2 linked regions of the Canis lupus familiaris genome follow. The main gene of each other region encodes a partner of the protein of the gene in region 2 in a complex. Links are inferred from orthologs where the notes say so. Each region holds a gene or a part of one and is shown on either strand. Other genes may lie near its edges.

Region 1 (4,237 bases), on a different chromosome or scaffold from region 2:
CCCGGGTCTTCGAAGGCTCCCTGCCCACCCGCGAGGACTCCTAGCGTGGGCAGGTGCAGTCTGGGAACTGGGGCTGCGAATTCGGTTCCAGTAAAACTCGTGCCCTCAGGTCGTGTCCCGCACCCCTGCGCGGTGAGGAGCGGGGGTGGCCGCCCGCGCCGCGCAGCCCGAGGCCGCGGGGGTCGGTCCGCTCTACGGAGCACGTTCCGCGCACATTCCCCGCGCGCGGGCTGGTCCCAGCCGGGTCACGCCGTCGGACGGCGGGCGGCGGGGAGCCCGGGGCGTCGTTGGCGCGCGCTCGCTCCCCGCAGGTGGCTCGGCAGCCGCGGAGAACAAAGGCGCCCGAGGGGCGGGGGCCCGGCCGAGCGCGAGGAAATGGGCCGGCGCCGCCACAGCCCCCCGCCGCTGGGCGCTCCGGGCGGCGCCGGGACGCGGGGACCCCGGGCGGGGGGCGGGGGCGGGCCCCTGGACCCAGGGCGTGTCGGCGGAGACCCCCGGGAGACGGGGGCGGGGGGCCCAGGGCTCGGGGAGGGGCGGGGGGGGGAGGGGGCGGCGGGGACCCCGGGGCGGGGGCGGGGCGGCGCGGGCGCGGTGGGAGGAGAGGGCTGACGCGCGGCGGGGCCGGGCCGGGGGCGCGGGGAGGGGGCGGCAGCGAGCGCGCCAAGTGGCGGCGGGCCGGGGCGGGGCTGGGGGCTGAGGGGACGGCGGGAGGTGGGGCCGCGGAGCGCGCCGGGCTGCGGCGGGCCGGGAGGTGGGGTGGCGGCGGCGGCGGCGGCGGCCGGGCGGCGGGGCGGGAGCGGCTGAGGGCCGGGCGGCGGGGACCGAGGGCCGGGCGGCGGGGGCCGAGGGCCGGGCGGCGGGGGCCGAGGGTCGGGCGGCGGGGGCCGAGGGCCGGGCGGCGGGGGCCGAGGGCCGGGCGGCGGGGACCGAGGGCCGGGCGGCGGGGGCTGAGGGCCGGGCAGTGGGGGCTGAGGGCCGGGCGGCGAGGCTGAGGGCCGGGCAGCGGGGGCTGAGGGCCGGGCGGCGAGGCCGAGGGCCGGGCAGCGGGGGCTGAGGGCCGAGCGGCGAGGCTGAGGGCCGGGCGGCTGAGGGCCGGCGGCCGGGCGGGGGCGCGGGGCAACGGGGCGCGGGGCGAGCCGAGGCCGGGGGCCGGCGCCGCAGCGGGGCGGGCGGCGGGGCTGACGCGCGCGGGCGGCCGGCGGCCTCCTTCCGCCCCCTGAGCCGCGGCGCCCGGGAGGCGCGCTGGCGGCGGCCATGGCGGTGGCGGCGGCGCTGGCGGGCCGCGGGGCGCGCGGAGGCAGGGGCCGGCCCCCGGGCGGCGGGCGGGCGGAGGGGGCGGGGCCCGGGCGGCGGGCGGCCCGCGCGGCGGCGGCGGCGGCGGCGGCGGCGGCGGCCGGGACGAGGCGGCGGCGACGGCGGCGGCGGCGGCGCGGGGCGCTCGGGCTGATGGCGGCGGCGGCCGGGCCCGGGGCGGCGCTGTCCCCGCGGCCGTGCGACAGCGACCCGGCCACCCCCGGAGCGCCGTCCCCGAAGGTGAGGAGCGGGGCCGGGCGGGGCGGGGCGGGGCTCCCGCGGGGGGAGCGGAGGCCGCGGCCGCCGAAGCCCGGGTCCTGGGGCGGCGGGGCGGCCGCGGGGGTTCGGAGCGCGCCTGGCGGCGGCGGCGGCGGGGACACCGGCCCGGGCGGGGCGGGGCGGGCGGGGTGACCCCGGGGCGGCCGGGACCCCGCGTTGCCGCCCCGCAGCCCCGGGAACTTAGTTGGAAACTGGGTCCCGGGGCGGCGGGGGCGGCTGCGCGGGGGGAGCGGCCGCGTGCGGGCAGGCGGGGCTCGGGTCCGGGGGCCCCGGAAGCGGGCGCGGGGGCGCGGGGTCGCGGGGTCGCACCTGCGGCGGGAGCCCACCTGTGGCCGCGGCGGGACGGCCCCCGCGCACCTGTGCGGCCCCCGCCCTCGTCCCAGCGACTGCTCTCAGGACTTTGCAGGTTACCTTTTTTGGGGGTATTTCAACTTTTAAAGCAAAGGAAATATACTTAAACCTAAAAATCCTTAAAATGCTTAGTCGTGAGTAAAACGGCAAAAACCAAAAAACAAACAAACCAAAACAAAACCGTAATACCTGAATTTGCTTATTAAAGGGAGTTGTTCCCGAATCGTATTGTCTCCACTCTGATTCTTACTGTTAAATGCACATTTTTGGAGAATAACATGTATTCTCTTCTCCATCTCCTACCTGGTTGCCTTTCTTAATGGGATTAGGCAGTTTTTTGATGATTATACAGGAGCTACAAAGGACAACCTGCCATACACACACACACACACACACACTATTTGAGAAAGAATCGGAGTCGGTTCCTAGTAGCGGAGCCGTTTGAGACTTTCTGGTTGTCTCGCGGGTTAACTTTTATAGGACACTTCATGACCCGCTAGGCCCTGCTCTGAGCGCTTCCCGCGTGTTTAACTCCTTTAATCCTTGCATTAGCCACGTCATGAGGCCCCGTTATCGCCTCAGTGTTACGAAGAGGAGGCGGCTCAGAGGGCACAGGCTCAGCTGGTGGAGGCCAGCGCCCAGGACGGTGCCAGGCCAGCCTTGTACTCTGCTGGATTGGGTTCGTTTTACCACGTAGCAAGAAGACCATGCTATCTAACAAAATTGTATTCATCTTACGAATCTACATTTAATTGATTTTTTTTTGTTTTAGTTATTTTCGTACGCCTTACGGTCATTAAGCCTTAGCTAGTAATGTGAATAAGTCAATTTGCTAACATCTGATGGCTCACTTATGTTCTGAATGGAATGGCCCAACTAGAGTCTTGGTATTAATGCCTCACCACAGATAATGTCACCTAAAACACTTAAGCCATTCCTCTTTTGGTGGGGATGCGCGTCTCTTGCTGTATCAATTGATGACTCTTACTAGGGAATATTTTTGCTGAATTTTTGCAATGTAAGAAAAAAACTGACAGGGTTGGTAACCTGTTTTTAGTCTTTGCATTTTCTTTTTTCATGGAAATAGAAGTATATAGGACTCCTTTATTTTTTTTTTTTTTTTTTTTTTTAAATTTTTTTTATTTATTTATGATAGGCACACAGTGAGAGAGAGAGAGAGGCAGAGACATAGGCAGAGGGAGAAGCAGGCTCCATGCACCGGGAGCCCGATGTGGGATTCGATCCCGGGTCTCCAGGATCGCGCCCTGGGCCAAAGGCAGGCGCCAAACCGCTGCGCCACCCAGGGATCCCCTATAGGACTCCTTTAGAATAGTCCTATCAACTCCCTAGCAGTTGAGTTAAACAGGAAATGATCTACACGTTTTTTTCCTAACTGGGGTAGGAGGGATTGCTTTAATATTAAGAGTGTTAACAGCAATTTTACATGTTTGTTTTTAAAGTACATGGCATTTTAACTGCAGTTGCTAAGAAAGGAAAAGTAGATTTACATTTACAGGGTAATTGTGATTTTTCTTTTTTTGATTGTATAAAAGATCACTTTTTGATTATTTTTAGATTTTTTTCTCAGGTCTTGCCATGCCAAAATCTTGGCCCTTCTTAGTTATAATAGAAAGTTAACATGTGTATAATCATTTGTCATTAAAGAACCTTTAAGTGGAGCCTTGTAGCAAGTCTGGGAAGATACATAATCATTCTTATTTTTTATTGTTTCTCTTCTTATGTTTTGAATTTTTTGAATGTATAGGATGATAATGAAGATAATTCAAATGATGGGACCCAACCATCCAAAAGGAGGCGAATGGGCTCAGGAGATAGCTCTAGGAGTTGTGAGACTTCAAGTCAAGATCTTGGGTACTGTCATTTTATTGCTTAATAGTAGTTGTGGTGTATTTCTCTCCTCTGCGATACCTCCCTCCTCCCCGGCACTTCAGCTGCCACCTGCACCCTTCCGGAACACTTCACTACTGTGTGGAAAGGTCTTAGCCATGAAGCAGTGACAGTTGCCAATTCCCTCCTTCCCCACGGCTGGCAGCCCCCGTCCCCCTCTCCGTGTGACGTAGGGCACCTCACGTAGGTGGAGTCCTACAGTATTTGCCCTTCCATGTCTGGCCTCTTTCCACATGATTCCTTGAAAGCTCATCCATGTTGTAGCGTATGTCAGAATTTCTCTTCAGGGCTGAACTGTGCTCCGTGGGGGGGACAGAGCAGCTTTCGTATGTCCTTCCCTCTGGGGACGGGCCCGGGTTGTTTCCCGCTTTGGGCTGTTGGGAACAGGGTTGCGGTGACGTAGCTG
Region 2 (3,994 bases):
GAACATACCTTAAAATGCAAAGAAAAAATTAGTTGACCTCTATCTCAAAGCTCTAAAGTGACTGATGACAAAACAGAAAACTAGCCTTTTTGATATCCCAGGAACAAATGATAAATTTTACCAAACCAGGCCTTTAGGAGAAAGTCCCTCCCAAGATCATAAAAGATATCGGCTTCTCTTTAAATTGAGCTGCTTTCTCAAAGTTCAATTAACAAAAGAGTTAACAAGATTCAACATGTAAACAAAGAATGAGGCCAGTCTTCCTTAAAACAGAACACTTGAACGTAATATGAAATTCTCTCAGGAAGCTTCCAGTTCAAAAAAAAAAAAAAAAAAAAAGAAAAAGAAAAAAAAAGTTTTCTTCTACCCCCTCCCATAAAGATCCCACATTTGTCACTCAATAAAAATCCCAGTAAAATAATCTCAATTCTGCAACGCGAACAGGGTCAAAATTACTCAAGACAAATGCATCTTCAGAGCCATCAAAGAAGTCATTTATACCACCAGGAAAGTCACAAAACCAAAACAAACAGCAAACCCATTGTAGAGAAAAACTCAGCTACTGTTCTGACAACACAGAATCTATTTCAGGCTGCATAAAACATAACAAGCAAAATAAATCCAAGGTACAAGCAAAATGCCACTGCCTCCTCTTTTGTTTCGGCACAATGTAACAAGGGCAGCCTGTCTGGGGCTCTGCTCCTGCTGATACAGTATTGCTGCTTAAACCTTCCTCCTCAAGGTCACAGCCAATTTCAGCTCTGGAATAAAAGGCAGATAGTGGCAGCGATGGTTTGGGTTATCACTGGCAGAAAAGCAGAGTGTAAAAGTTTATGAGCTCATCAGGATTGTTGTACCATTACATCAGAGGCAATTATAAATGGCCAAGAGCAGGAGATGGGGAGCCAATCAGATCACAGATAGGATGTCAACCTAAGACCAACTGTCTCCTGGCTTTGACAGAAGGATTTTACCTCCATAATTCAAATCCCAAACCAAAGCAATCTGCACTTACTACTCCAATCACTCAGCTGTTTACCAGCACTTCCAGGGAGAAGCCCAGGCCACTGGGCCGACGGAGACTAAGACAGGAGATGGCCCGGGCTGCCCTGGGTGAACCGCAGCCGGCCTTTAGCTGCCCCCAAGCAGGCCCCTGCCCTCCCCCGAGGTACCCCAGAGCCCGAGGGGCCCCTCCTTGAAAGCACAGATGGGGAACGGCCTAGAGGAAGGCAGGAGGGCGGGCAGAGAGGAGCGGCAGGTGAGCAAAGAATTGTTCACTCAACTCCCGAGCTCCTAGCTCTGCACACCCCAACCTGAGCCCCCAACACACCCCTCAACCCCGGGCCAGGCCCTTCCCCGCACATTCTGCCCCGCACCCCCTCGAAGACCCCAGGAGCGCGAAGGGACCAGGGGAGAGGGAGAAGGGGAGCAGACACCTCAGGGAAAGCCCCACACAAAGGCTGAAGGAGGGAAGGAGAGGAAGGCAGACAGGCAGCCATTTTAAGAGAAGAGCCAGACAATGGCAGCTCCCCAGCAGTGGGGGCCCCGGACTGGGGGTAGCCCAAGGCTGTGGCCTGCTCCCCGCAGCCGCCACCCACTCCCAGGACCCCGCTCGCCCCGGCCCCCTCCCCACTCAGCTGTGTACCTGCGGGGTCCGGGCGAGCGGCTGCGCCCCGCCGCCGCTGCTCCCGGGGCTCATGGGCGCGTGGTGGCTCCTTTGTTGGGCCCCTCCCGAGGCGGCTGCTGCCGCCGCCGCCGCCGCCGCCGCAGCCCCCCAGCACTGCGAGGCCATGTCCGCCGGGCCCTTGCCGGCGCCCCCGTCCTGGGGCCCGCCGCCGTAGTCGCCCCCGGGGTAGCCCTGGTAGCCCCGGGCCGAGCTGGGCGACGTGAGCAGTTGGTTGAGGGTGGGGGTGGCGGTGGGCTGGGGGGTTCCCCCGCCGGCCGCTGAGGGGCCGCCTCCCCCCATGGCCCCGAAGCGCTGCTGAGCGAAGGACGAAGACGACGAGGAGGCGGAGGCGCTGGAAGACGGAGGCGGCTTGGAGCCGGCGGCCGCCGCCGCGCCGGAGCCCGGAGTGCCACCTCTCGGGGAGCTCAGCGCGTAGGCCTGGGGGGGCGGGGGGTAGGCGCTGCGGTTGGGGTAGTAGGAGTTGTACTGGTGGTTGGGGAAGCCGTGGTCGTGCGAGTTCTGCTGGGGCCCCGCGTAGGGCTCCAGGCCCCCGCCGCCGCCGCCGCTCTGCAGCGCTGCCAGGCCAGGGCTTTGTTGTCCGCCATGTTGTTGGTGGAAGACGGCGGCCGCCGCGGCGGCGACGGCAGACGGGCTCCGGCCGTAGGGTTGCCCGAAGCCGTAGGCTGGGGGCGGCAAGGCGGCCGCGGCTGAGTGAGGAGGCGCCCCCACCCCATCGCTGCTGCCGCCGCCGCCGCCGCCGGGCGGCTCCGTGAGGTTATTGTTCAGGGCGGGCCTAGGGCCCGCGTTCCCGTTCGAGTTCTTCAGGTCCGGCTCCGCGCCGGGCCCGCCGCCGGCGCCGGCTCCACCGCCGCCGCCACCCCCATTGCTCTCGGCCCCGTCCTGCAGCTCCTTTCCCAGTGGCTGCGGCGGCCCCACGGCGGGGCCCTCGCTCTCCTGCCCGGCGGCTGCCTTCATTTCCCCGCGCTCGGCCGCTGCCGCCGCCGCCGCCTCGCCCCCCGCCTCCTCCCGCTGCTGCTGCTCCGCTTTCTTCAGCTCCGAGGGCGGCGGCGGCGGGTTGCCCAGGCTGCTGGCGGCGGCGGGGGCGACCTGCGCGGCCATGATCCCCGCTGTCTCGTCCGCGGAGAGACCCGGCCCTGTCTTCGTCTTCTCCCCCCCTCCCACCCCGCCCCGGGGCCGAGTCCCCCGGGCTGCCCTCCCCACCCGCCCGGGCGGGCCTCGCGGGGCTCCGCTGCTGCGCGGCGCTCGCTCGCTCGCTCCTCTCCCCCCCGCCCCGCCGGCTCAGGCTCCGGGCTGGCGGCGGCGGAGGAGGAGGAGGCGGCGGCGGCCGAGGCGCCGGCGGCTCAGCTGCTCCCGGCTCTGTAGGCTCGGGACCCGGCTCTCCCGGCTCATTCCCCCCAAGCCCTTGCCTGGGAATGAGGGGGGCGGTGGAGGCTCCGCTCCCCAGGGCCTGGCCCCGCTGTGACTCTCCGCTTTCTGCTGCCGGAGAAAGGAGGAGGGAGGGAGGGAGGGAGGCGAGGGGGAGGGGGCGGGGAGGGAGGGAGGGAGGGAGCGGGGGGAGGGGGACCCGGGACGGGCGGGCTGGAGGGCGCGCGGCAGCAGCCCGGGCGCCGGGAGGCAGAGTCGGAGCGCGGGCCGGGCCGGGCGCCCTGCCTCCCCTCCCCGGCCGCGGCGCGGGCCGAGGCTGCTGCGCGGCAGCGGGCTGGCGGGCGGGCGGGCGGCCGGACTGAGCGGCTAGAGCGCCCCACTCTCCTCCGAGTCCCCCTCACTCCGACACGAGGCTCAGCACTGCCATTTTACCCAGCGCCGTCGCGGCCGCCTGGCAAACCCGGAATGGAGCGCGGAGCGGGCGCAGGCCATGGAACGGACTCGCTCCCTTCCCCTCACAAAGGAGGAGGGGAGAGAACGAGCCGCGGCGGCGGCAGGCCCTCTGCCGCTTTCGCTCGGCAGCGCCGCCGCTGAAGGCTTCGGGGAAAACCCGGCCCGGAGCCCGCGCCTCTCGGAGCCTGCGCCGCCTCCCTTCTGGCGTTCCTATCCGGGTCGGTCCCCTCCAGGCCGCACCGAGGGGAGCGGGCAGCGTGAACTTTACTCGCGGCTGCAAAATTGGCCAGAGCCCGAGACCGCGGCCGCCTCGGCCCAGGCCTGACCCCCTGGCAGCGGGCCTGGTCTCTTGGCTGCTACTTAGCACCTCTACAGCACTTTTCTTCAAAGCCTTTTACAAACCCGGTCTTAAAGACCCAGCTGAGTGAGCGAGCAGGGCCTTACATTTTATCCCCTTTGCAAGCCCAACGGAATGACAGATCATTGTTC

Evidence for each region. The genes of interacting proteins can lie anywhere in the genome.
Region 1: ARID1A (region 2) and PHF10 share a complex: the UniProt entries of both Homo sapiens proteins name them as parts of the neural progenitors-specific chromatin remodeling complex. The link is inferred for Canis lupus familiaris from reciprocal best matches to the Homo sapiens genes ARID1A and PHF10.

What each region holds. Positions count from the first base shown.
Region 1 is NC_049233.1:72,437,697-72,441,933, reverse strand, and holds the start of PHF10 (PHD finger protein 10), read left to right. Parts: upstream 1-1,437; 5' UTR 1,438-1,446; coding exon 1,447-1,533; intron 1,534-3,688; coding exon 3,689-3,795; intron 3,796-4,237. UniProt on the Homo sapiens protein: Involved in transcription activity regulation by chromatin remodeling. Belongs to the neural progenitors-specific chromatin remodeling complex (npBAF complex) and is required for the proliferation of neural progenitors.
Region 2 is NC_049223.1:72,795,366-72,799,359, forward strand, and holds the start of ARID1A (AT-rich interactive domain-containing protein 1A), read right to left. Parts: upstream 2,801-3,994; 5' UTR 2,786-2,800; coding exon 1,646-2,785; intron 1-1,645. UniProt on the Homo sapiens protein: Involved in transcriptional activation and repression of select genes by chromatin remodeling (alteration of DNA-nucleosome topology).